Rattus norvegicus: one gene and its partners. The protein of the gene in region 7 interacts with the protein of the main gene of each other region in a pairwise test. Links are inferred from orthologs where the notes say so. Each region holds a gene or a part of one and is shown on either strand. Other genes may lie near its edges.

Region 1 (4,196 bases), on a different chromosome or scaffold from region 7:
TTTTGGTACCTAGCTACCTCTCATAAATTATCATTTAATTTCTCTGTCTCTAGGAGGTAGATATTATTCTCATTTATCAAACCATCAAAATGAGGTACACGTCCACATTACGTACACGCTATAGCAAAAACAAAGCAAATAAAAAACCACAATGCCAGCACTGGAATCTAGGCAACTGCAACATTTGCAGATCTAATCACCTCCAAAAGTTTCGTTAGGTTCTGTATTTATAACTGACTGCGTAGGATTCCGACCACTTCTTTCGGATTACTTTAAAGCCACCATTAGCAGATATTCGGAAAGAGATTTGTCCTCTCTCACAAACTTCCCAGTGACTCACAGGTTACTCAGCTGACTTCTCTACACCCAGTGCTCCACCCAAGCTAGTTCACTTTGCTGTTGCATAGCAACAGAACATCCCTAACACCAGAAGGCGTTGCAGCCTCTCAGGGTCTAGCCAGAGGCCTCCCAGGGGCTCCCCAGCGTCTAGCAAGGGGCCTCCTAGGGGCCTCCCAGGAGTCGAGCCAGGGTCTAGCAAGGGGCCTCTTAGGGGCCTCCCAGGAGTCGAGCCAGGGTCTAGCAAGGGGCCTCCCAGGGGCTCCCCAGCGTCTAGCAAGGGGCCTCCTAGGGGCACCCCGGGATCTAGTTCTCAAACTTCTGGATGCTAGACCGACCCGATCGGATCGACAGTCCCGCTTCCTGTCCTGCGCCATAATACACTTCCTTAGGTTACATTTTCTCAGATTGGACCAAAACAAGTGAAGCCAGTGGGCATAGACCAAAATAAAGGGGCGAGACTGCAAAGCAAGCTGGAGATGCTCTCTACTGCACGTGCAGAGACGCCGGGATAGATTCCTATCAAGCTGGCTTCCAAACAGACCACAAAAGGCTAAGGAAGCGTTCGCCAGCAGGGAGCCAAACGGGCCCCGCGGCTTCCGGTCCTGCCACGTCTGAGGAAAAGCCTCTGCTGTTGTGAAAGCGGAGACTGCCAGGGGGCGGGCGCGCGGGGGCGGTGCTCTCAGGCCCATTACCCAGAGGATGCACCCCTCTCCCTTCCCCCAAGGGAAGCTGCTTGGGAAGGCGGCTGGCACAGCAACCCTCGTAGGAAGTGGCGAGCGGAAGCGCGCCCCCCTCAGGCCCGTCCAAAGGCCTGACACTATTTTTTGCCTTGGAAGCCACCCTTAGCCTGGCGGCCTTGCGCGCGTGGCCGAGCCCTGGAGCGCGCCGGCCAGTCCTGCCAATCACGAGCCGCGCCCGCCTCCCCCCTGGTCCCGCCCCGCCCCGTGGCTGAGGCTCGTGGGCCTACGCGCACGCGTAGTCGGAATTGGACAAAGCACATCCGCCCGCTACGGTCAAGCTAGCCAATCGCACGTCTCTCCTCCGGTGGGGCTCCGCCCCCGGGGCGAGGTCAGTGTACTCCGGGCGCTACGCTGGTTGTGTACGCTGTGTCTGCTGTGAGCATGGCTGAGGAAGGTATTGAGCTTTCTCCCTGGGGCTGGTCTGCGCGTCAGGCCTGCGGGTGTCTGCATATCTGATAGAGAAGCTCTTCCCGGCGTCGCGGGGGCTCGACTTCCTGCTCTGTAGGGTAGAGGGCTTTCTATGGTGAGGGAGGTGGAGGAGAGGGGGAGGGAGAGGAGAAGGAGGGGGACTGGGCTTAGAAAAAAGAGCGCGGGAGGGAGCAGCGGGAGAGCGCTTTCTGTGGTGAGGGGGCGGGGGAGGGAGTAGAGAAGGGAGAATGAGGGGGGATGGCTTTCTGTGGTGGGAGGGTGAGGGGAGGGTGCGGGGGAGGGAGTAGAGAAGGGAGAATGAGGGGGGAGGGCTTTCTGTGGTGGGGGGTGAGGGGCGGGGCGGAGGGGGCGGGGCGGAGAAGGCGGGGCTTGGTGGAAAAGATAGGGCGGGGGAGGAAGGCAGAGGCCCTGACCCTAGAAAACCAAAAGGGGCCGACGCTGCTTTCTGGCTCCTTGGGACTCATTCTTCTAGGCACAAAGCTTTTAGGATTCAAGATTCGGACTGTATCGCTTTTATTTACGAAATTATAACAAAGATTAAAATTCTTGACTACGTAGAGTTAGTTCCCTTCCCCGAAATCCAAATTTTTGGAGATGTTTTGAAGGAGAAAAATGAGTGTCAATAAGATACTAGCCGGTTTATTTGTCGTGAAAGAAACAAAATTTGGTTACTCCCCATGTGGAGAAGTAAATGGAAAGAATATGAAAAGAATTAGAATAAATTACAGGTACAAATAATTGGAAGAAATTGCTGACTTTTTTGGTGTTTAGTTCACTGAAGAAAATTTTGTTGAAAAAATTGAGGTCTGTTTTGAGATAATTAATTTATCATTCTCGTGTCTTTCCCTTTCTAGAAGGAAATCAGGAGATCACTTCCAAGATGGAAAACCCCTCAGATTCAGCATCCACTTCACCTGACATTCCTCAGACCAGTGAGAATCCACCATCACCCCCAACCTCACCTGACAAGCCTCAGACCAGTGAAAATCCACCATCACTCCATTCGAATAGTTCAGGAAAACAAGTATGAAAATTTTGTGTTGTCCTTTACCCCCATCTGTCCTGTGTTTCAAAGTATTCCAATAGTGGCAGTTCTAAGGATACTGGAGTGTGAGTTAATATATAGCCCATACCTTGCTAACTGCCAGATTTTCTTCTTGAATCAGTTCATTTCGTTTAATTTCTTACCAGGTTACTGAGATGCTCCAAACCAAGGAAACATATCTGTACCGTATTTCAGGGGGAAGTCTTTGGTAGCAGGTCTTCTCCTTAGTTTATAGTTCTGAGACATTTCTGTTTCTAGTATTGTCAGGCAAATACTAGCTGCCAATGACGGTAACCTTGCTAAAGCAAGACTAAAGGTAGCCTCTGGAACTTAGATACATTGGTGATGCCCACTTGAGGTTTTTGGAGACCAAAAGCAACCCATTGTACCTACCATAGAAGCGTACAGACTTTGTTTCGAATACATTGATGTACTTCAAGAATATATTCTTTTTTTTTTTTTTTTTTTTTTTTTTTTTGGTTCTTTTTTTCGGAGCTGGGGACCGAACCCAGGGCCTTGTGTTTCCTAGGTAAGCGCTCTACCACTGAGCTAAATCCCCAGCCCCAAGAATATATTCTTAACATTTGATGTTTTGTGTCTTTTTCAGCCTATGAGTGGGACACTTAAAGAAAGATTAAAGAAAGCAAGAGCTTCATCTCAACCTTTTTGTAGTGTGGTGAAGCGTATTAAGGTAGAGAATGAAGAAAATGATCAGACCCTTTCAGAACCAGGAGAATCTTCAAAAGAAGAAAACTGTTCAAAAGCCCAAGAAAGCCTGGAAAACAAAGACAATGAACCTGAAAAAGAGAGCTCAGAGGATAAAAATACGAGTGAATCTAAGTCACTTGATACTGGGTCATCCAGTGTCCTCCAAAAAGATTCTACTGAGAAGACTATAAAGCAAACTTTGAAGGAAGAAAAAGCAAAACTGACTAGGCAGGTTCAAGAGAAGGAAGACCTTCTTCGGAGGTTAAAGTTAGTCAAAATGTACAGAATAAAGGTGAGAAGAATTTCAGAACCATTGAACCATTTTTACATAAATTGCTGTAAATTCAGAAATTGGAAATAAATTTTAGTCTGATAAACAAGAAGCCGAAAAACCCAGAAACCTGAGTTAGTTACACCAAGAGCTTTGACTGAATTAGAAATAACTGGTTCAGAATGAGGCAGATAAGCCCCTTCAACACGAGGTAGAACTTAAAAGCTTCAAAGCTTCAGCTCTTGTTTAATGCACAGATGAAGCTTGTGGGCTCTAATTTCTAGCCAGGAGCAAGATTAGAAGTGTGAGGTGTTGGATGGAGGTGCAGTGGGAACAGAAAGGGATGTCGCTAGAACTAAAAACACACCACAGAATGCTGGGTGCTGCACTTTCCGTAACGATCATGTGTCTGATAAAATGTCAGGCATTTTATTTGAGAAAACACAGATTTTAGGTTTCAGCTCACACATGTTGAGTAAAATAGAACATGGATGTTTGGAAGGAGGAGACATCGCTGCTGCTCTTACCCACAGATCACCTCGTTCTATCCCCAAAATGTGGAGTAAATGACAATAGCGTATCTTATATGTGGTTTTGAACTTTTAGGACTTTTCTAAATGTAACTGATGCTAAATGTTGAAAATGCTTTAAGCTTGAATATGTT
Region 2 (3,500 bases), on a different chromosome or scaffold from region 7:
AGTTCTTTTTGAGGTTTTTTGCTCTGTAATTCTAATTTCATTCAGTATTGTATTTTCTTAGATCCATTGAGCTGTCTGATCTTAAGTTTTGCTTACATATGTGTGTGTCTGTCTGTGTGGGTATGCACATGTGCATTGGAGTGTGTTGAGGCCAGGTAGAGTATTGACCTGGGGTCATAGACAGTTATGAGCCACCTGATGTGGGTGCTGTGACTTAAACTACAATTCTCTGCAAGAGCAACACGCATTTTTACTCCCGAACCATTACTTCAGCCCCCAAACTGAGCTTTTAATGAACTATTCTCAAATTGTTTGTTTCCTTATTTGTTTGCTTATTTATTTGTTTATTTGAGATGGGGTCTCACTGTGTACACTGTCCTGTAACTCACCCTATAGACCAGGCTGGCCTTGAACTCTCAAAGATCTGCCCAGTTTTGCTGAACTCTTTGTCCAGCATTTCACCTATTTGTCTTTTTTGGAATCTGTTATAGAAGGCATCTCTTGTTTTTTTAGATTTCTGTTTTGGTTTGGAGACTAGCACAGCCATCAGTCAGCCTCCTATGGGGGCACCGTGTGGACTTCAGGCTTCCCAGCAGCATTGCTGCTCTGACTGGGGCCTGGATCCACACTGAGTAGGTCGCTGGAACTTCTTGTTCACCCAGGATGCAGACAGAAGGCTTGCCCTGCCTGAGCCATGGCTTCTTTTCAGCAGACATCCTGCTGTTGTGCCCCTGCTGCCACCCTGCAGCCCCTTGCTCGCTTTGCTATTAGGGTTGCCCTTGGTGACCCCTTCAAAGTGCAGCGGAACATCTGCTGTTTCCAGCCCATGTGCTTGAGAAAAGAGGTGAATGTTAGGTTCACCCATCTCAGAATCCCTTAAGTGCCTCTTAAAACACAGTGAAAGTTGCCTGAAGTGGCTAATGATATTCTCTGTGGAAACTTCCCACCCCTAGGAAAGATTTGGGAACTGAGATTTTTAATGTCACTTTACATAAGAAGCAGAAGCTCCTCCAAGAAGAGGTTGAGACTTTGACATAGATGGGGTGGGGATGGGGGCAGGTTAGGGAGAGTTCTTACAGTCAGATTTGCATTTAAGCTTATAGTATCCTACCAGGCAGTGCATGGTATTCCTAACTGCTTTTCCACTCTAAATAATGAAGTCTCAGAAAGTGAAGCTTAAGGTAATTTATGATATGAAACCGCCGAGAGAAGGTGATATGTTAACTTTAAGTCCTGATTTTAACTTACTTACTGGTTCTCCTTTAGAAATGAGCTGCACCATTGAGAAGGCACTTGCTGATGCTAAGGCCCTTGTTGAACGGTTGAGAGACCATGATGATGCAGCAGAGTCTCTCATCGAACAGACCACTGCCCTCAGCAAGCGAGTGGAAGCCATGAAACAGGTCTGACTTTCTCTTGCTAACTTTACACCAAAGTTTTGCTGATACTTGGTTAAGTAATACATAAATTATAAATCTCTCAGTCAGTGTTCTTTTAACACTTATAAAGGAAAACAATTAATCCAGGCTTGCTTAAAGTTTTCAGAATTTAGTCCATTATTATCATGGCCATAGCTTGGTGGCAGGCAGACATGCTGGAGTAGATGCTGAGAGTTCTACATCCGAATCCACAAGGCAGCAGGGAGAGCCTATGCTTAGAATGGGACCCCAAAGGCCACCTCCTCCAGCAAAGTCACAGCTCTTAATCCTTTCAAGTAGTGCCACTCCCTAGTGACCTAGTGTTCAACTCTATAAGCTAATGAGAGCCATTTTCATTCAAACCACCACAATAAACTACTACTTAAATAATGTCTAATTAAAATTCAAGTAGCCTCACTTGTATGTTTGTTTCACTTTGGACTAGGGTATATTATCATGTTTCAGTGACATGTATGTAGGTAGGTATGCTGGCTAGTTTTGTGTGTCAACTTAACACAAGTTAGAGTCATCAGAGAGGAAGGAGCCTTAGTTGAGAAAATGCCTCCATGAGATCCAGCTGTAAGGCATTTTGTCAGTTAGTGATGGAGGTGGGAGGCAGCCTATTGTGTGTGGTGCCATCCCTGAGTTCTATAAGAAAGCAGGCTGAGCAAGCCATAGGAAACAGGTTAGGAAGCAGCACTCCTCTGTGGCCTCTGCATCAGCTCCTGCCTCCAGGTTCCTGCCAGGTTTGAGTTCTTGTCCTGACTTCCTTTGATAATGCACAGAGATGTGTAAGTGTAAGCCAGATAAACCCTTTCCTCCCCAATTGCTTGTTGGTCATGATGTTTTGCTGCAGTAATAGAAACCTGACTAAGAGGTAGGTTTATTTTAAACCCTATAAATTTTATCCCTCTTCTGACTAAAATGCACATTTGAGTCAAATAATAAGTGGAATTGTTGAGTCTAAATACATTTGTTAAGGACCAGATTATACATCTCACTAATGTTGGCATGTATTGGACATTTTGCTGGGTTATATAATGTCAAGATGTTTATACTTTTCTTTATAAAAGTGCTTGGATATTATTTAGCACCCATATAGTTTTTGGAAATGATGCAAGAAAATATCTAATTTTCACTCTATGCAGTTATTTCAAGTTAATTTTTTCTAGTATGTTTTAAATCTGCCATTATAAAAAGCAGCCCTAGTTGGGCAGTGGTGACACATTCCTTTAGTCTCAGCACTTGGGAGGAAGGCAGCTCTCTGAATTCGAAGCCAGTTTGGGCTATAGAGCAAGTTCCAGGACAGCCAGGGGTATAAAGAGGAAAACTGTGTTTTTCTCTATCTCTTGAAAGAAAGAAAGAAAGAAAGAAAGAAAGAAAGAAAGAAAGAAAGAAAGAAAGAAAAAGAAAGAAAGCAGTCCTGAACTAAAGCTCTTTAAAAGTCACCAGAAATAGCATAGCAAGTTCACTTACTCTACTTTGCATCTGTGTCTCCCTAAAGCCATCTGCTCCCTGACCATCCAGCCTGACTCTTGCACTCCAGTAAGCATAGACCAGGTGGTGATGTGTTTTTAAAAAGAAGTTCGACTCCTTAAGTTAGGAACCAGAAGTGTTACTGTGTTAGTTAGGGTTTTAGTGTTGTGAAGAGACACCATGACCACTGCAATCCTTTTAAAGGGAAACATTTAATTGGGGCTGGCTTACAGTGGGAGGTTTAGTCCATTATTGTCATGTCGGCATGCAGGCAGATGTGCTAAAGGAGCTGAGAATTCTACATCTTGATGCAACAGGAAAAGATCAGGCTTGACCTTCTGAGGCCTTAAGGCCCACCTAGTCATGCACCTACTCCAGGGCCACACCTCCTAATAGTGCCACTCCCTATGAGCCTATGGGATCCATTTTCTTTCAAACCACCAGTTGTGATGAATTTATTGATAGCTATTCAGTAAGAATGCCTCAAGATGAATATTGATAGCTGTTCAGTAAGAATGCCTCAAGAAAAATGAATGTAATTCTAAAGTTGGATTCCCACTTTAAAAGAAAAATTTCAAAATCCAATCAGGTGTAGTGGTGGCACAT
Region 3 (4,300 bases), on a different chromosome or scaffold from region 7:
GGATACAAAAATCAAGGCTAGCTTGGGACATACAGCAAGTTTTAGACCAGCCTGATCTAAGGGCAAGACACCTATCGAAAAAACAAAACAAAACAAAAAAAAAAAAAACCAAAAAACCCAATTAAGGGGAAACTGAGCTCACAAACAGTTGCAACCCATTCAACTGTCTTTCCCTTAGGTTAAGTTCTATGTACCATTTATTCGTCAAACAGCCTGCACATGTGTAAGGTTGGGAGGTCCCCGTGTCAGCTCAACCTCAGAGCACTGTGGCTGCAGGTGGGATGCGGGAGTTGACCGCACTTGCCCCCACAGTGGGCGGGTGTCAGGCTGTAGGGAAGCCATGGGACACCACTCCAGGGGTGAGGGAGTGCAGTCTGAGGCTCAGGACACAGTTGGAGCTGACTTGGGGGTCCCTGGACCTTCAAGAAGTCTTGGCCATTGGGTTCTCCAGCTCTTGGGCATGCAGGCCCTGCTGGGCTGGATCTAGCCCAGGGCCGAGAGGAAAAAGGGGGGGCTCTGGCGAGTCCTGCATGGAGAGCCTTTGGCTTGGTGGTGGTGGGCCGCAGGCTTGGCTTGGTTTGGTTTGGTGGTGGCCTCCGCTGCAGAGAAGCCTTCTATGGGAGATGAGAGAGCAGCTCTGTTGGGGAAGGCCTTCTCCATGGCTCCCCACCACAGGGGATCCTGATGAAAAATGGCAGTCCGTGGTTTTAAGACATTTATTGTCATGGCGGAAAGTGGATGAGTAAAACCACACCCCACTTCTCAGGGTGGGCCTGAGATTAAATACCCTTTGCAGGGAGGAGTCTCTGGGGAGAAATGCTATTGGCTAAGCCTCCAGGCCTTTAGGTACCTCATTATAATGGAGATCTGTCTTGGCCACAGGTCACATCCTCTACCTATGGAGGGGCTTGGGACTTTGCCTTTACGTGACTGATGGCCACAAATCTATGGAGGGCTGTGGCTAGCGACAGGGGCCTGGTTTTCTGGGAGTCAGGTGAAATGCCTACTATTCATTCCTTCAGGGTCACTGGGGCTTTAAGCCTTAGCTCAACCAGGAACCAGGCTGCCTTTCACGGTCCCACACACATTCACAGATCTTAAAGGAGAAAAAGAAGAGAGATTTAGGTTGCCGTGACCTCCTTTCTCCATTCGCCCCCATAACTGTGGATATGGCTATTAAACACATGCTATAAGCTTCCTGACTTTCCATCCCAGCCTAAATTTAGTATGATTCCACAGAAAATGGCCTGTGCCTTACAAGTAACACAGAAAAACAGCCAGTGCTCCAGTGTGGGTGTAAAATTAAACTTTTGGCTTCACCCTACAGAAACTCCTGGGTTCTCCAAGTTTCTGAGAGTTAGGGAAAATAGTTGGAATGTCGTGGGGATGCTGGCAGGGGACTCTGGAGCTCTCTCCCCTCCACTTTCTCGCCCTGGAATGTTTCTGCCTCACACTCTACTCAGTTGTGTCTAGACCTGCCAGAAGAGCCAGCAGCAGTGTGCAGGACGGTAAAGGAGAGACGAGGATGTGTGGTTATCTGCAGGACAGGGTTTATTCTTCCCTGGTGCCTGCAGGGTCCCCAGAGACCTGGAGCCTTGTGTTAATCCTTGAGGGAAAACAGTCCCTCAAGATTAGCCAGGGTAGGTAGGGGGAGAGGATGTCAAGGAAAGCAGAATTATTTTGACTGCATTTTTGCCTTGTCTGATTAGATCTCAGTGGTGTTAGGACTTTGCATCACGAAAAGAGCCCTGTATGTAGGCCTGGGGACAGAGGGACCAGGCTGGGACCTGGAACTGGCATGGCTGCTGGGCTCTTGGGCTCTGAGGACGTACCCTGTAGCTGGGACCTTGCTTGCCGGGTCCTAAGGACTTGCAGAGAAGGAAACCTGCATCTTCTGCAGCTGATGTTAAAGCCATGGTGCATTCCCAGGGCTGTCTACCAGGTAGGACCAATGCTTGTTTTGGTTTGCTTTGCTGTGTGGGGGTTTGTGGGGGTGGGGAGGAGTGATGAAGGAGGATCTTTCTCTGAAACTGGGGAACACCTTGCAATCAATTAGGATCTGGGTAACCTTCATGGGATATGCCTTCTTAGATACCTGGGCCCATGTGAGGTGCTTTAAGCTCAGTGTGCAAGGTGACCCCTATAAAGAAGGGTCACCAGCTGAAGGATGGGGTTACTAAAGATTGCATGCACATTGCTTTAAATTTATCTACGAGCAAATGGTAGAAACCAGTGATTTAAAGCACCATATTTCTGGCTGTTGAGACTAAGAAAATGCTTTTTATGGGTTCCAGATCCCCAAGCAAGGTCTGATGTTTTGTGAGCGATGTGCACACCAGTTAGGTGTGACAACAATCTTAGGTAAGGGACAGATGTGGCTATAAGCAGTAGAGCATCATGGAGGCAAGGGCATTAAGCAGGAACCCCAGGTCTTCTCCTCAGTCCCTTCTCCTTTTGTTGGCTCGCACAGGAGTCTCTGGAATCAGACGAGTGGAGCCAGGTCTCTCACTCACGCCTATGAGAAAGAAAACACCTTGCTATTGGGTTTTGGTCCGCAGTATTTTCATCTCATGGGCGGGACACATGTTCATGAGGGTGCCCCTGTGTGTGTGGAAACATGTAAGTGTGGTGACCTTGGATGACCTTCCTCAGGAGTTTACCTACCTGCTGTTTGAAAGAGATCCTCTTCTGGCCCGAGGCTCGAAGATTCCAAGTGGACCATGTAGCCTGGGAGCCTCGGGACCCCAGTATGGGAGTTACAAGCATGGTATCACATTTGGCTTTTTTCCTGTGTTCTGAGGATCACACTCAAGCCTCAGCAAGCCTTACTCAGTGGGCTACCTCTTCAGCCCTTCAGTTTCCTTTTTTGCAATGGTAGGAATGGAACCCAGGATTTCACACGGACTGAGCAAGCACTCTATCCCTGAGTATCAACCTTAGCCCAAAGATGACACTTTGCACAAGAGCCTGATAACTCATGGTCAGTTGTCTGGAAATGTAGATCACTTCCAAGAGGGAGACAGGAGTATCTGTTTCCTGCAACCACCAACAGGGCAGACTGGTAGCATTCCCACTTGCCCGGGAGGTGTCAGTCCTGAGATCTCCAGCCCACCCTGAGAGGGACCAGCCACCCGGAGCTGGGGGAGGGAAACCAAATTCTTCTGGCTGCCTCTTCAAAGGGCAGTCACAGGCTTCTCTTTGGCTGACAGCTCTGTGTAACCCAGTTTATTTCATTAAACTTGAGCGGGTTTGGCCTCTTTCCTTGTTCGCTGGCTCACCAAGCTGTTTGGCATGAGGCAGATAGCTACAGCTGGATTTGTATTTTCTAGGTGTGATTTGGCGGTGTGTAATCCCCTAAAGAACCACCATGTTTAAATAGCCCCAGGCTTCATGCTCCTCTCCCCATACGCAGTGTCCTGGGGAGGTTGCATCAAGGACAGTTCCTTGGAAGCCAGGCCCCAAGTGTTGGGTGGCTTTCATGTGTATACTCCATCCCCGTCCTGGTCCCTTCTCTGACTATAGACATACAGACACCGTTTCTGGAGGTAAACTTTTTCTGGAATTCTTGTCCTCGAAGGAGGCATAATACCTACAAGTGTTCCTAGAAACAGCAGCTGTGTCACAAATAAATCACAAGTAAAATAAATGAGGATATCCCCCAAAATGAACAACCATCAAAAAAACATACTTAATCTTTTCAATGACAAGTTATGAATTTAAAAGAGCTCTGGGGTTTCGGGGACCACAATAACCAAACCTCGCTGGGAGAGTCAAGAGGAAGAAGGAGTCTGCGGGTTTGTCCATTTGAAGCTTTCCTGAAATGTCCCTTTCTGGTCCATGTCTCCCCTCCCCCATCCTGGCATTCGGAACAACTTACTTGGTGTAGATAATTCTGTCTCTGCAGACATTGCCGTGGTCGCAAATGAGTTTGGGGACCTGGCTTCTGGCCTTTACCCCACCTTCAATCACCCTCTTGCCTTCACTTTCCTTCTACCAGATTATCACCTGATATATACATGGCTGGGGAGATAACTCATTGGGCAAAGTGTTTGTCACATGACCATGAAGACCTGGGTTCAACACTAAGGACCCGCATAAAAAGCCTAGAGGGATAGCACAGGTTTTGAATCTCTGCAATGGTGAAGCAGAGAGAGACAGAGCGCTGGGTCTCACAGGCCAGCAGATCTAATCTACTCTGGGAATTACAGATCCTAGTAAGAGTCTCTGTCTCAAAACCTAAGGTGGGGGGCTCCTGAGGAACAATCTAACATGACCTCTGCCCTCCACATGTGTATGTATG
Region 4 (3,500 bases), on a different chromosome or scaffold from region 7:
TTAGGGTTTAAGAGAAGCTTGGGCTGTCCCAGAAAGCTCTGAGCAAGTGCCAATGCAGGGAGAGGTGCCGGGCCTGGCCGTACCTTCACTTCTCTCAGATGAATGATCTCGCAATCTCAGTTTGCTGTGGGTTGGGTCATGCACAGGTGGCGGTAGGTGGAGCAAGCGCTCTGCTTTTGGAGCTGTCACTCGCTCCACCATGGGCACAGCCCCCACATCGTCTAAGTGCTGCCTGTGGGTCCTGTCAGGCCGTGTTTGGTGATGGGACAGCTCTGAAGAGGGGAACAAAAAAGAGCTGTGAAATACATTTACTCAAATCTTATTTGAGTTCTGAGCTCTTCAGTTCTCCTTAGGCTATACACGCAGGGCAGCAGGGTAGTTAATGGTACAATAGGTAGGAAAGGGACAGGGAGCCACACACAGAAATGTTAACATCAGGCTTCAGAAGTCATCCTGCCCACAGATGGACCAGGATCATATTGCTGCTGGCTGTTCAACTGAACATTCAAGGTCCCGCCTGTTTGAAATAGCTTCCAAAGTCTATCAGAAAGCATCCAAAACCATCAGACGGAGTAAGCTGTGAGCTGAATTTGTATTAAATAACTAAATGCTTTCCTCAATTCAAGAATACTGGCATAGGAAACCAAAAAATACAAGAGGTAAATACTGTAGTAATAGTGATTCCAGAGGACTCCTCAGTTCTCAGAAACTTACTGGATGTTGTAAGGAAGGAGTTGACCAACTTGTGCCTGTCTTTACGAACTGGATCTGACAGACTGCATGGCATGGGCGCTCTGTGCTTAAGAGAAAACTTTTTGGTAGGTTTGATCTTGTCAAAAGGCTTGTTTTGCCACTGAGACTTCAGCATGCTCTGGAAGTGCAGGCTTGTGGGAACATCTGTAAGAAACATACAACATTGCAGGTTAGTCTTGAGAACCTGATGCCTGGACTCCTGTCCTTAAAGGGTGTTTAGTCACTGACTCTCCAGAGGTCAACATACCCATCTCACACACCTCTCTGGTTTAACACGTAGTCTCACTTGCCAAAGCAGGGGCTGTTATGGAAGAGTCACTTATGTCATCTTTTTTTTTTTTTAAACTTATTTATTTATTTAATGTGAGTGATTGCACTGTAGGTGTCCTCAGACACACAGAAGAGGGCATCGGATCCCATTACAGGTGGTTGTGAGCCACCATGTGGTTGCTGGGATTTGAACTCAGGACCTCTGGAAGAGCAGTCAGTGCTCTTAATGGCTGAGGCATCTCTCCAGCCCTTATGTAATCTTTATTGATGGCCACTCAGTAGTGTCACCATCTTGGCCTTTTATTTACAAGTTCCAGTAAGGTTTATACAACACCTTTTTTTTTTTTTTTTTTAAATTGATGGGAGACTTCCTTTCCCATGTATTACTCTAAGTTTGTTGGCCTTATTGGTGTGGTATATTGTAAGCATACCATTTCAATTCTAGACACATATTTAAACCTACCTCTACATATATACAAGCACGATACACTCATTGAGCACTACTTATGCTCACGGGGGCTTGTGTTGGTGTATGACACAGCATATCCTATGATGTCTGCTCTGAAGTACTAAAGTGCTTCTTCCAGTACAAGCTATGTCATCCCTCTTGCTCTAGAGCCCTACCATCTTGCCTTTGATTATGTTTTCTTTTTTCTTTCTTTTTTTTCTCTTTTCTTCTTTTCGGAGCTGGGGACTGAACCCAGGGCCTTGCACGCAAGCGCTCTACCACTGAGCTAAATCCCCAACCCCAGATTATGTTTTCTTTTAAAGCTGACTTAAAAAAAAAAAAACCGTTCCCTCTCTATCATCTAAGACAAAGTCCTACTATGTTCCTTAAGCTCTAGTGATCTTCCTGTCTTAGCCTTCTGAATAGTTGTGACTGTAGGCATGGACCATCATGGCTGGCTCTGAATTAATATGTATTTTCCTAAGAATTAAGTATTTTAGTAATTCCTTCGAAAAATAATTTTTAGGATCTTAATTATTTTCCTGTAGGCTTACAGTTATTTTCCATTTTACTCTTATAGCTAGTACTTAGGTACTAAAGACAGTGTAACTGTTTTTAAGCTTTTGTCAAAACAAAACAAAACACTCCAAAACACAAACACAGCACCTGAAAAACTTAGGCAGGAGGTTTGCTGTGAGATCTAACGCTACAGCCTAAGAGACTGTCTTAATAAGAACCAAGCCAGGCCCTTTAGTGCCTTCTCAATTTTGGTAGGTCACTGTTCACTTACAGTGTATTCCTGGTCTATATTATGGAGTTTTCTGATTTTTTGTGGCAAGGTCTAAGTAGCCTTTGCTAAACTTTGCTATGCACACCAGGCTGGCCAAAACTCAATTCCTGCAAAAAAAAACAACACCAACCCAAGCTACCAGGGTTGCCAGGCATGTGGTTCAAAAGAACAAAAGTAACAGCATTTGTTGGTACTGCACTGAATATAGGTCACAGAGCTGCCGTGGCCTGAGCCGTTCAGTCCATGAACATGTGCATCTTTCCCCACTTACTTGCTCCATTTGGTGGTGTTAGAGATTGACCTCAGGCCATGTACTTGCTATATGTACTCAAGATATATCCTCTAAGACCGATTTAATTTTTCTATGTTTAGTAGTCACTGGTCAAGGTTAGTCCTCAATACAACCAACAAGATTGAGACAGTCAGTATTTTGCCATGGATCAGAGGCTGGTCTTTAAGTCACAGCAAGACTGAGATTAGTTTTGTTTTTTTTTTCTTCTTTCTTTTTGGTTTTGCAGACAAGAGTTTCCTACAGTCTTGAACTCAGATATCTGCCTGCCTTTGCCTGAGTGCTCGGATTAAAGATGGTGTCATCACCACCTAGCAACAAACAGCTTTTAAGTCACAGCCTTGTCTTTATAGTCCAGGCTGGCTTTAAACTTTAAGTGATCTTCTTTCTCGTTACCCAAGTCCTAAGATTAAAGATAGAAGCAATCATGCCTGATTTTTTTTTTAAAATGAAAAATTTTTTTCTAAAATTGTGTGTGGGTCCATGAGTAAGGTATGTACATGTGGTGCAGGTATGTACAGAGGCCAGAGGCTTCACATGTCCCTAGATCAAATAAGTATTGGGAACTGAACTCACATCCTCTGAAAGAACAGTATACTTTTTTAAAAAAGATTTATTTATTTATTTATTTAATGTATACGAGTACACTGTAGCTGTCTTCAGACACACCAGACCTCATTACAGATGGTTGTGAGCCACCATGTGGTTGCTGGGAATTGAACTCAGGACCTCTGGAAGAGCAGTCGGAACTCTTAACCGCTGAGCCATTTCTCCAGCCCAGAACAGTATACTTAACAGGTGAGTCATCTCTCCAGGTCTCCCAATTCTGGAGGGTTATTTTGTTGTTGTTGTTACTCATTTGTTTGAGATAAGAGTCTCTCTATTATGGAACTCTGGCTATCTTGTAATTTTCTATGTAGATCTGGTTGGCCTTGAACTCACAGAGATCC
Region 5 (3,500 bases), on a different chromosome or scaffold from region 7:
ACTTACATATATATTCTGTGTGAACGTATTTGTGGATGAAAATGTTAAGAGAAAGAATCAGGAGATCTGTTTTTTCCACAGGAAGTAACTTATTTGTTAATGAAGATTGCTTTAATGGAATATTTACTTTTGGAAAATATTGATTAAAATTTAATTATTTCTTTTGTACACGGAATTCCTAGTGAAGCCTATTAAATTTTCAGGGTTTCTAGCACATGCAGAAGTAAAAGTTCACAAAATTGAATTGTGACTCACGGAATGATTCTTTGGCGTTTTCAAAACAATTTCTCCCTTAGAGAAAGTCAGCGGCATAGGGTGCTGCATAAGTAATGGAGTGAACACAATAGAAATTGTAAAACTAAATGAATGAAATACCGCTTTAGCATCATAGATTCTTTGGAGGCACAAATATGGGTGTTCAACTCTCACTTTTATTTTTCAGAGATTTATTCAGTATTTGGCCTCTAGAAATACGCTGTTCAACCTGAGCAACTTTCTAGATAAGAGTGGATCCCACGGTGAGAACGAGCAAAGCTGGGGGGGACATTAATCCAGAGTCACTGTCACTGTGCGTCCCATTGGCTATTTGAGAAAGTAATGTGAAAGTAACTGTTAAATTAGCCATTAAATTGTACACAGTGAATCATATAAAATATATACCAATTTTATTTTGTCACTCGGAGTGTTCACTTTGGAAAGTGAACCTTGGGTTAATCTGTCTTACAGTTTGTTTATAAAGATCCGGGAGATGCGGGAGTAGAAGTCATCAACCAAATTAAAGAAAGTCCCCCTCTTAAAGGAATGTTTTTGTAGGTTGATGCGGCTTGAGCCATGACCTCTGGCTCACTCGTTGTATTTGCTTACTGTCACATACATGTAAAGCTAGATAGCCCCGTAGCGGATGGCTGCATGTGTTACACATGAAACAGGCTGCTGTGTGCAACAGTAAATACAAATGCAAGGGGAAAAACCAAAATAGACATCCCATGCTGGACGGTCTACTTGCCACACTGAATGGCCAGAGCGGCCCATGTGGAGGAATCTTGGCTTGTGAGTAGCTGATAAACGCGGCTTGCTGCAACCTGGCGAGCTCCATCTCAGAGGCAACCGTGACAATCCCTGTCTGTTTTGAAGAGAACAGGGTCCCCAGTGGAGGAGTTAGAGGAGCTGAAGGGGGTTGCTACCCCATAAGAACAACAGTACCGACCAACCAGAGCTCCCAGGGACTGAACCCACCAAAGAGTACACAGGAGGTGCTCATGGCTCCAGCTGCATATGTGCAGAGGATGGAACCCTTGGTCTTGGGAAGGCTCAGTGCCCCAGTGTAGCGGAATGTCAGGGTGGTGAGGTGGGAGTGGGTGGGTGGGTAGGGGAGCACCCTCATCGAAGCAGGGGGAGGGGAGTCAGGATAAAGGGTTTGTGGAGGGGAAATGGGGAATGGGGATAACATTTACATTTGAAATGTAAATAAAGAAAACATCCAATAAGAGAAAAGAAAAAAGAAGAGCCGTAGAAACTCGTATGAAAAGTCCAGTCGAAAGCGCTGTGCTCATGACTCGTCTCCTCTCCCTCTCCCCAGGTTATGATATGTCCACGTTCATACGACGTTATAGTAGATACTTGAATGAGAAGGCTTTCTCCTACAGACAGATGGCATTCGACTTTGCCAGAGTGAAGAAAGGGTATGGCTCTCGCTCCTTTTCTTATTTACTTAAGCACAGTAAGTCCTGTAGGCATGCAAGGTTTATTTAACTCAGCTTACATGCCAGCTGGCGTTGATCCTGGAAGGCCCAGTCCACATTCACCTGAAGAAACGGCTTCGGAAGTCAGTATGATAGGAGGTTCCCTGAAGTGTACAGTGCTTCGTGTGTCCATGCAGAACAGTCTGATTGGCTGCTCAGAAATGAAGTGGTGCAAAGTTTTATTTGTTAAAACTGACTCAGCATCCTTAGTAGAAATGCCTTTAAATATGGGAAGAACTGACAGGATTAATTGCAGTGTGTGGTGGTGTTAAATGAAATTATTTATTTATATGAATCTTAATTGAGGTGAAAACTGTATATGTGGTGATTTAGTTTTGAGAGGTAATAATTTCCTAGGAAATATGCATACCATAATTTAATTATCGACATTACTTACTGTTTAAGAAAGTCTCCGTGAAGCAAAAAAAAAAAAAATGAATTTTAATACACAGGTGTCATTTATTTGCCTCTACATCAATGGTTTAATCTGGGCCAAATTTAATCAGCCAGAAACACATGCAGATCTTTTGTCTGTTTATATCTGAAGGTAATGGTAAAGTGTGGTGAAGGTTTATTATTTTATTTTAAGAATCTACAGAGGGGCTGGAGAGATGGCTCAGCAGTTAAGAGCACCCATTGGCTGCTCTTCCAGAGGCCCAGGTTCAATTCCCAGCATTTACATAGCACAACTGTCTGTAACTCCAGTTCCAGGGGAAACCACACCCTAATAAAGTTAGATGTGCAAACAAAGCACCAGTGCATATAGAATAAAAGAAAACCATAAATAAAAATGAATAGACATACATTTAAAAGAATCATCATGTAAATGTCTGATTACAGGGTGTCTGACACGCAGTCTGTAGGAAAGGGCCTTTAGACCCACAGGTTGAGAACCACTGGTATAAGAGACGGCCCTGCATTCCCAGCGCTCACAAGGATACGTGCTTCTGTTTGTTTGCGGTGTTGCAGGGCCGACGGTGTAATGAGGACAATGGTTCCTGAAAAGTTGCTGAAGAGCATGCCAATCCTGCAGGGGCAGATCGACGCGCTGCTGGAGTTCGATGTACGTGCCTCACGGGCCTCATGGAAAACGTTTCCCCCATAGTTGCTCCTTGTCTTTCCTTTGAAAGGGCGGCAGGTCAGTTAGAGGTTGCCCTAAGGATCCTCTCTAGAAGGCCTTCGTGTAGATGGATTACAGGAACATTCACTCAGTCTCCGAGGCTTCCAGAATGTTCCAAAGTCTACAAACCGTTTCCTAAGGTCAGAGGAAGGCGAACACAGCTTTCTCGAGCCTTCTATTCTGAGTAAAATGATGTCTTGGTGCACTTGTAAGATGAAGTATGCACAAGATGTTCCTCAGGCAGCTAAATAACCATGCTTTCTGGTCAGAGCCCATCTGACATGGACTGCCCGAGTGACACTGGCCACCAGAGAGTGATTTTGTATTATCACAGATAACAAGTGTTTTCTGTCACACTCAGTAGGTGTTATTTGCTTGTTTAAAAGCTTACCTGAGGGTCTGGAGAGATAGCTCAGTGCTTAAGAAAGTAGCTGCTCTCGTAGAGAACGGAGTTCAGTTCACCACACCCACATGGCAGTTCCCAACCAGCTCCAGTTCCTAGGGGTCAGATGCCCTAGCCTGGTCTCCATAAGCACCAGGCCCACAAGGGGTGCACAGACAGACAGGCATGAAGGCAAAATAGTCATACACATGAAGTAAAAAATAATGAAAGGAAACATAACCTGAATTGGTTGTGG
Region 6 (3,500 bases), on a different chromosome or scaffold from region 7:
ATATCATTTCTTTTAGCTCCATTTTGAAAACTTGGCAAGGGCAAAGGGGTTGTTGTTGGGTAAGTGGACATGTGTGGTGTGTGGCTGCAGCCTTATTCTGTGGCTTTGTCGCATGTCCCCCCAAAGTACTGTCCTCACATGTGGCTTCCTGTTCTAGGAGCAGGCTGCTGAGCGGGAGCACGAACGAGAAGAGTTCCAGCAGGAGATCAAATGGCTGGAGGGGCAGCTCCGCCAGGCCACCCGGCCTCGGCCTCCGGGGCCCCGGGACAGTCAGGTAGGTCAGCCTGTGGTGTCCCCTGTCTGTGGGTGACTGGTTACTGCAACATTTTAAAGCTTTGTTTTCCTTTACCCTTTGCCTTCCCTGGACATGGAAACTCCAGTGCGCCAAGCTAGATGAGGAGGTAGGATGAACAACACCTCCCAGCTTCCTAGCACAGCTCTCCCACACCCTGCCTGGTGGTTTGCTGCTGTTTGTGCTGCCCTGCTGCTCGCTCTTTGCTTTTGTTTGGGGCTGTGGAAGTCTGCAACCCCCTGTCAGATGCAGCTGTAGTTGATTTGCTCATGCTTTTTTTAAAAATGACACATCAGGAAAGAATGGGTTCCCAGGAAGTTGTGAGGCATAGACCTGGTTCTTTGTTGAGCGAGAGCCCTGCTGTCCAGCCTTGGGCTGAAGGGATGCAGTGAGGCCCCGCTGCAGCCCTCCAGTGCCACAGGCCTCTCGATGCCTTCCCATGAGTTAGTTCTTCTCACACTATTGCATGTTAGATGTAAAACAGGAACAGTGGCAGTTGGTCCAGGAAGGAGGCTGACGTACAGTACGTAATTCCCTTTAGGGATGAGGGTCAATAGATGAGCAGGCTTCAAGGCCATGATTGGATCTCCAAGTGAGGGAGAGAACATTGGGGAGAAATATATGGAGATAGTATATAAAGACTGAGCATGATAGGACCTCAAAGGGAAGGAAGAACGGGCTTCCCTTCAGTAAGCTTGAGAATGACTGGGACACAGCTCAGCCTTCAACAAAACATCCATGCATGTATGTAAAAAAATTTTTTTTTGATACATAGCTCTGGCTGTCTTGAAACTCACTATGTAGACTAGGCTTTCTTTCAACTCAGGGACCTGCCTGCCTCGGCCTGCCAAGTGCTGGTATTAAAGGCACACTCCGTCATGACTGGCTTTTCTTTCTGTGTAGCCCTGGCTATCCTGGAGCTCTATCTGTAGAACAGGCTGGCTTTGAACTCAGAGATTCACCTGCCTCTGCCTCCAAAGTGTGCCACCATAGCCCAGACTTTTTCCTTCCTTTGTTTCGCAATTCTTTTGTAAAAGTGCTTTTTATTTTTATGAGCATTGGTGTTTGGCCTGCATCTGTCTCTGTGTGAGGGTGTCGGATCCCCTGGAACTACAGTTACAGACAGTTGTGAGGTGCGGGTGCTGGGAATTGAAGCCAAGCTCTCTGGAAGAGCAGCCAATGGTACATATGGCAAAACGGGGTAGAAGAACCAGGCATCATAAACAGAGCTGTCAAGTCACTGCCTGCCTCCTGATACTTTCTGGGAGAGGTGGAGGGGGCGTGGCCTGACTCAGGCTGGTTTTATTATTGACAGTTTAATTTGGAAGGTTTTTTTTGTTTTGTTTTGTTTTAAAACTCTAATGTTCTTCATACATTTGTTTCCATGTTTAGGTGGAATTGTTACAAGAGAAACTGAGAGAAAAATTGGATGGGTTTAATGAATTGGTTATAAAGAAAGATCTTGCAGATCAACAGTTATTAATCCAAGAGGAAGAGATTAAGCATCTTGAGGAGACAAATGAGAACATTCAAAGACAGATGGCCCAGCTCCAGGAAGAACTAGAAAAACAGAGAAGAAGCACGGAAGAGTTAGAGGTAAAGCTCCCGGCTAGGTCGAAGCACTAAGCCGGGTGTGGGATGGGTCACGTAGGTCCAAGTACTAAGCCGGGTGTGGGGTGGGTCACAGGGCTTCGTGGGGCTGGCCATGCACAGAGCTGTAGTGTCTCTTGGGCACGTGGCTTGAGACTCAGGAAGGGGCTTGTACCCTGAACCTCATAGTAGGCCTGGACAGATGTCCCTAGTGGCCTTGGGGCAGCAGGCTGGCTTTTTCAAGATGGGGCTGTCTCAGTCCCTAGACTCAGTTGTGTCTGTGTTTGAGCGACTAGTTCAGGACTTGAACTTGGGAGTTTTCGTTTGCTTTTTGTCATCAGATGTTACCAGAGTAAGAGCCAAGGAGACATGCTGTTCAGCAGTCAGTAGCTCGAGGGAGACAGGAGTCCCCCTTGAGGGGTTAGCGCAGTTTTCAATAGTGTTCCCGAGGGGAGCTTTTTTCAAAAGTGCTGACGGGAACCTGAATTCTCCTTGTTCTCTTGATTCTCCTATTTAACCTGCGCACTGAGGATTCTTACCCTGCTCCAGTCACTTCCTACAGCTCACCTCAGGGCTGTTGCAGCCTTATCCTTTGACTTGAGCTCACTGAACTTTAGATATAAAGAGATAGAAAATGCCTGTTTGTTCTCCTCCCATTGGACCACTTGACATTGTTTGCCAGTTTCTTTATTCCCCAGTGTTTTGTGAGCGTGCTTACTATGGTAAATGTTCTCTGAAACATTACTTTTTTTTTTTTTTCTAAGATTTAATTTATATGAGTCCACTGTAGCTGTCTTCAGACACACCAGAAGAGGGCATCAGATCCCATTACAGATGGTTGTGAGCCACCATGTGGTTGCTGGGAATTGAACTCAGGACCTCTGGAAGAGCAGTCAGTGCTCTTAACTGCTGAGCCATCTCTCCAGCCTAAAACATTTCTTTAAAAAATATTGCTCTATTATATATGTGTGGCTGTTGTATCTGCATGTATATCTGTGCATCACATGTGTGCAGTGCCCTTGAAGGCCAGAACAGGGCATTGGGTGGAACGGGAATTATAGATGGTTGTGAGCTGTTCTATGGGCTGGAGGGAATCGAACCTGTGTCCTCTGGAAGAGCAACCAGTGCTCTCAACTGCTAGGCCGTCCCTTCATTCCTTGGATACTTTTTCATACATTCATGTTCGGCAGTTGGACATATCGTCCAGCTTGTCCTGTTCTTGTCTGTTCTGTGTTTTGTAATTGCTACTAGCCCAGTGGACACTTACCTATGCTGTTCAGTGATTACTTGTAGCAGTAGGTCAATTCCAGTGTGATGGGCCCCAAAGTTTCTGTTTGTAAGTGAGTTTCGGAAACGGTGTCTTTCAGTATTTCTTTGAGTTTCTATAATCATGCCCTTGTTCCCCGTTAGCCTGTTAATACAGTGGTGTGCGTGGTGGCGTTTGCAAGTGTGGAGTCAGCCTCACAGCTCCCCTGCTCATCGTGCTTCCTTCCGTGTGCAGATGTTCTGCGACATTATCTCTCTGTCCCCACCAGGGACATTAGTCAGCTCTTGAGCTCTTTGTGTCAGTTTTTTTCCCCTTTTTCTGCTTTTGGAAGAAATAGTCCAAGATTGGTAT
Region 7 (3,500 bases):
CCAGCCTCAGGTGTGTCCTCTCCCGGGGTTTGGGAGTGTGGTCATGCCTAGGGCAAGCTGTGGGTTTCCCCCCATCGCACCTGCTGCCCAGTCAGCACTCGTGCTGAGTCCTGAGGAAGCAGCTGTACAAAGTGAGGAAAAGCTACCTCTAGTTTTCTTGTACCAGAGTTACATGCCTGTGGCTGGGGCATTGTACAAATTGGGGACGTTTCTAGTAGCGGGAAGGTCTGTCGTGCTCTGATGAAGGGCAGAGGTGCTTGGTTAATGGTGCCGGTGTTCCTCTGCAAAGTGACTATCATGCCGACAGTGGCGTGGGAGCGAACACTAGTTCTGGCCTGGCTGTTCGTTCTGTCCACTTTGAGATTTGTGTGTGTTTCATATTGTATTTTTTTTCTTCCAAAATTTATTTAGAAGAATACCTCGGCCTGGGAGTGCACGGCCAGCACCTCCCAGGGTCAAACGACAAGAGAGCACAGAAACACTGGCAGGGGACAGGTGAGGCTGCCTGGCCAGGAGGTTCTAGTTACACTGGAGCCACGTTCTCTAGTGCATGGGCCATGGGATGCCAGGGTCTTGGGCCTGTGCAGAGAAACTTCGTAGGATGTAGTACTCAGTGCTGGAAAATGTTGCTTTGAAGAAAGATAGGGTTAGGTCACTGCCTTAAACCACAGAGAAGCATTTATTCCAGACTAGCAAAAGGGAAAAAATACATGTGTTCATGTATAGGATGCCTCAGAATGCATGGGCCATTACTGGGCTGTGTTTCCCTGACCTCTAGATAGAAGACTTTCAAAGCATGAAAAGTTGTACAAAAGTTAAATCACGGGTACCCCAAAGCTGAAACACCCCAGAGGTATTGGGCACGGTAGCTGGACCTGTGAAAGGGGAGGTCCTGGGTCCCGTGGCCTGCATGTGCCACCTTTGCTGTATCTTAGAGTCAATGCCAGGGAACAGGGCGGTCCCTAGGGCCTTTGTGGAGCAGAAGGGCCAGTAAGGCTGGGGTAGAGGGCTGGGGTGGCCTGGAGCTCTGAACAGCATGGAGGCTGCTGTGTGGGAGGTGATATTCTCTCTGTTCCCACTGTTCCCTGAGATTTCCCTTCACCTGTCTTGGGCAATGGCAGTTCAGCTCCTTTCTGAGAACTGTGGGGTTTCCAGAAGCAAGGGGGTGATGATAACTGGTGGCTGATGGGTCACTTCTAACGGAATGACTCTTGTTGCTTAGGTCGGGAAGTGGTAAGACGGTCTCCACTGTGATCATCGACTCCCAGAACTCCGACAATGAGGACGACGAGCAGTTTGTGGTGGAAGCTGCCCCGCAGCTGTCGGAAATCGCAGAAATTGAAATGGTTAGTAAGACGTCTAAAGTGAGGACCTGAGCTTTTCCAGTTCACGTACATACAATTTTTCTAATTTTCCAGTTAGTTGTCTAGTTTATGTTTGTTTTATTTATTTATTTGCTTGTTTATTTGCTTATTTATTTATTTGCTTATTTTGAGGTAACAAAAGCATTGAAAGTTCAGCTTCCCTGATCTTTCTCCTTTCTGCCCAGGTGCCATCAGGGGACCTGGAGGATGAGGAGAAGCATGGTGAGTATAGACCACAGCACTTGTGCGTGTGTATACGTCCCTCTGTGAGTACTCTGAGGATGCTAGTGGCCATCCTCTGCCTAGCACAAGCTGGGTTCAGGGAGGGACACCGATGCTGCTGCCATGTGGGCCTGGAGGACCACAGGACCTGAGATGAGGATGGGCTCTAGTCATAGTGGCGGTGTGTCTTGTCTGCCCAAGACATTGTGTATATACATGCCTGTGTACACACATGAACATGAGACTAGAATTTGTTGTAAAGCTCAGGCTGCCCGAAACTCTCCATCTTCCTGCCTCAGCTTCCTACATACTGAATTATTGGTATACTCCATGTCCAACTCAGTTCTGGTTTTTATTCATGTAACTGTTCCTATAGCTTTAAGGTTAAATGTTCATAGCCAGCTACATTAAGAGGTGTACGTTTGTTTTGTTTTGTTGTGTGAGGCAGGGTCCCATTGTGTGGCTCTGGCTGGCCTAGAGTTCACTGTGGAGACCCACTTTTGACTATTCTTTTGCTTCTGTCTTGTGAATGTTGAGATTATAAGTCTACACCACCCCACCCAGCGCTGAGGTGTAAGACTTCTTGTTCTTCTTCCCTATATTCCTCTCCCCGATAGGTTCAGGTGGAAATATGAGAAATGATTCCATTTAAAAAATGTGAATATGTGAGTGTGTGTGAGTGTGTGTATGTGTGTGTGTGAGTGTGTGTATGTGTGCGTGTGTGTGTGTGTGAGTGTGTGTGTGTGAGTGTGTGAATTTGATAGTCTGCTGGCTTGCACTCCAGCACAGAGGCAGACATGGCCTCTCTTCATAGCAGCATGTTGTACACCATGTACATAATATGTCATCACTCATCCACTCAGTCTGCCTGAGGCATTTCGTATAGAAGATACTTTTAAGTGTAATTTCATTCTTTGAGAATTTCGTGAAATATATTTTGATCATATTTGTGTCCCCATTCCTCGTCCTTGCTCCTCCCAGATCCATCCAGTTTCTCTCCACTTCCTCTCAATTTTATGTCCTTTGTAAAAAGAGAAAAAAAAGAAAAAAGAAAAAGAAAAAATAAGAAAAGAAAACCAAAAAAACAAAACAAAACAAAAAACCGCTATCTACTTCATTTGGGCTGCCTGTAGCTCCTGGGTATATGCTAGGACCATCTACTGGAGCTGACTGACCTAGCATGAGCCACACCCTTCAAAACCAAGTCTCTCCCTCCCCCAAAGCCACCGACTGTCCGAGAGGGTAGCTCACTAGAATGTTGACTGACATTCTGACACTGTTTCTCTCCGTTCTTCCCTATTATCTGGCTCTCACAGCTGTCTTCACCCCTGTTCCATGACGTTCCTGAGCCTTGGAGGGCAGGTTAGGGTGCAGTGGAGCTGTCCCATCTGTGGCTGAGCTTGCTGTTGCCATGTATTGCCTGTTCTTTGATTGGTTGTGAGTTGCACATTAACCACCGTCCACTGAACGAGGACACTTGTCTGATGAGGTCTGAGGGCAGCACTGATCTGTGAGCACAGGGGTACAATGAGTGGGTAGTTTGATGGTGTGCCCATCTAGTAGAGTAGACGCTGTCTCCTGGGACTGGTGAGCTCCCCAAACATAAGTTTTGGGGCCAGACGTACAGAACTGTGTTTGACTTTCCTTTTGTAGAATGGGTCTCAAGTTCAATCAGAAAATGGCCGGTTGCCTGCATAACATTGATGCCACTGTAGCACCTATGGGTGGCACACTGGCCATTGCTGTAGTCAGCAGTGTAGTTCGAAGCTTGGTTACACTGATGGTAGCACACACCCCCTCCCCCCAGCAGCCTACACAGCATTGTAAGACAGTCTTTTTAAGGAGAAGATTGTTCATGAGCTCTTCATACCGTGGAGAATTCTAAACAAAATTTAGTATTCTTGCCCAATCTAA

What was found.
Region 1: the proteins of Traf3ip1 (region 7) and Sfr1 interact in a two-hybrid assay, tested with the Homo sapiens proteins (2 studies listed by BioGRID and IntAct). The link is inferred for Rattus norvegicus from reciprocal best matches to the Homo sapiens genes TRAF3IP1 and SFR1.
Region 2: the proteins of Traf3ip1 (region 7) and Fgfr1op2 interact in a two-hybrid assay, tested with the Homo sapiens proteins (2 studies listed by IntAct). The link is inferred for Rattus norvegicus from reciprocal best matches to the Homo sapiens genes TRAF3IP1 and FGFR1OP2.
Region 3: the proteins of Traf3ip1 (region 7) and Frmd4a interact in a two-hybrid assay, tested with the Homo sapiens proteins (2 studies listed by BioGRID and IntAct). The link is inferred for Rattus norvegicus from reciprocal best matches to the Homo sapiens genes TRAF3IP1 and FRMD4A.
Region 4: the proteins of Traf3ip1 (region 7) and Kansl1 interact in a two-hybrid assay, tested with the Homo sapiens proteins (2 studies listed by IntAct). The link is inferred for Rattus norvegicus from reciprocal best matches to the Homo sapiens genes TRAF3IP1 and KANSL1.
Region 5: the proteins of Traf3ip1 (region 7) and Snap91 interact in a two-hybrid assay, tested with the Homo sapiens proteins (2 studies listed by BioGRID and IntAct). The link is inferred for Rattus norvegicus from reciprocal best matches to the Homo sapiens genes TRAF3IP1 and SNAP91.
Region 6: the proteins of Traf3ip1 (region 7) and Pcnt interact in a two-hybrid assay, tested with the Homo sapiens proteins (2 studies listed by BioGRID and IntAct). The link is inferred for Rattus norvegicus from reciprocal best matches to the Homo sapiens genes TRAF3IP1 and PCNT.

The regions. Positions count from the first base shown.
Region 1 is NC_086019.1:256,559,137-256,563,332, forward strand, and holds the start of Sfr1 (swi5-dependent recombination DNA repair protein 1 homolog), read left to right. Parts: upstream 1-1,396; 5' UTR 1,397-1,460; coding exon 1,461-1,473; intron 1,474-2,362; coding exon 2,363-2,532; intron 2,533-3,160; coding exon 3,161-3,553; intron 3,554-4,196. UniProt on the Homo sapiens protein: Component of the SWI5-SFR1 complex, a complex required for double-strand break repair via homologous recombination. Acts as a transcriptional modulator for ESR1.
Region 2 is NC_086022.1:181,228,798-181,232,297, forward strand, and holds part of Fgfr1op2 (FGFR1 oncogene partner 2 homolog), read left to right. Parts: intron 1-1,266; 5' UTR 1,267-1,268; coding exon 1,269-1,403; intron 1,404-3,500. UniProt on the Homo sapiens protein: May be involved in wound healing pathway.
Region 3 is NC_086035.1:78,853,077-78,857,376, reverse strand, and holds the start of Frmd4a (FERM domain-containing protein 4A), read left to right. Parts: upstream 1-1,500; 5' UTR 1,501-1,798; coding exon 1,799-1,942; intron 1,943-4,300. UniProt on the Homo sapiens protein: Scaffolding protein that regulates epithelial cell polarity by connecting ARF6 activation with the PAR3 complex. Plays a redundant role with FRMD4B in epithelial polarization. May regulate MAPT secretion by activating ARF6-signaling.
Region 4 is NC_086028.1:89,746,621-89,750,120, forward strand, and holds part of Kansl1 (KAT8 regulatory NSL complex subunit 1), read right to left. Parts: intron 898-3,500; coding exon 715-897; intron 273-714; coding exon 84-272; intron 1-83. UniProt on the Homo sapiens protein: Non-catalytic component of the NSL histone acetyltransferase complex, a multiprotein complex that mediates histone H4 acetylation at 'Lys-5'- and 'Lys-8' (H4K5ac and H4K8ac) at transcription start sites and promotes transcription initiation.
Region 5 is NC_086026.1:96,694,508-96,698,007, reverse strand, and holds part of Snap91 (clathrin coat assembly protein AP180), read left to right. Parts: intron 1-442; coding exon 443-518; intron 519-1,579; coding exon 1,580-1,682; intron 1,683-2,711; coding exon 2,712-2,805; intron 2,806-3,500. UniProt on the Homo sapiens protein: Adaptins are components of the adapter complexes which link clathrin to receptors in coated vesicles. Clathrin-associated protein complexes are believed to interact with the cytoplasmic tails of membrane proteins, leading to their selection and concentration.
Region 6 is NC_086038.1:12,237,353-12,240,852, forward strand, and holds part of Pcnt (pericentrin), read left to right. Parts: intron 1-157; coding exon 158-274; intron 275-380; coding exon 381-401; intron 402-1,684; coding exon 1,685-1,888; intron 1,889-3,500. UniProt on the Homo sapiens protein: Integral component of the filamentous matrix of the centrosome involved in the initial establishment of organized microtubule arrays in both mitosis and meiosis. Plays a role, together with DISC1, in the microtubule network formation.
Region 7 is NC_086027.1:99,545,176-99,548,675, forward strand, and holds part of Traf3ip1 (TRAF3-interacting protein 1), read left to right. Parts: coding exon 1-10; intron 11-411; coding exon 412-495; intron 496-1,222; coding exon 1,223-1,346; intron 1,347-1,549; coding exon 1,550-1,586; intron 1,587-3,500.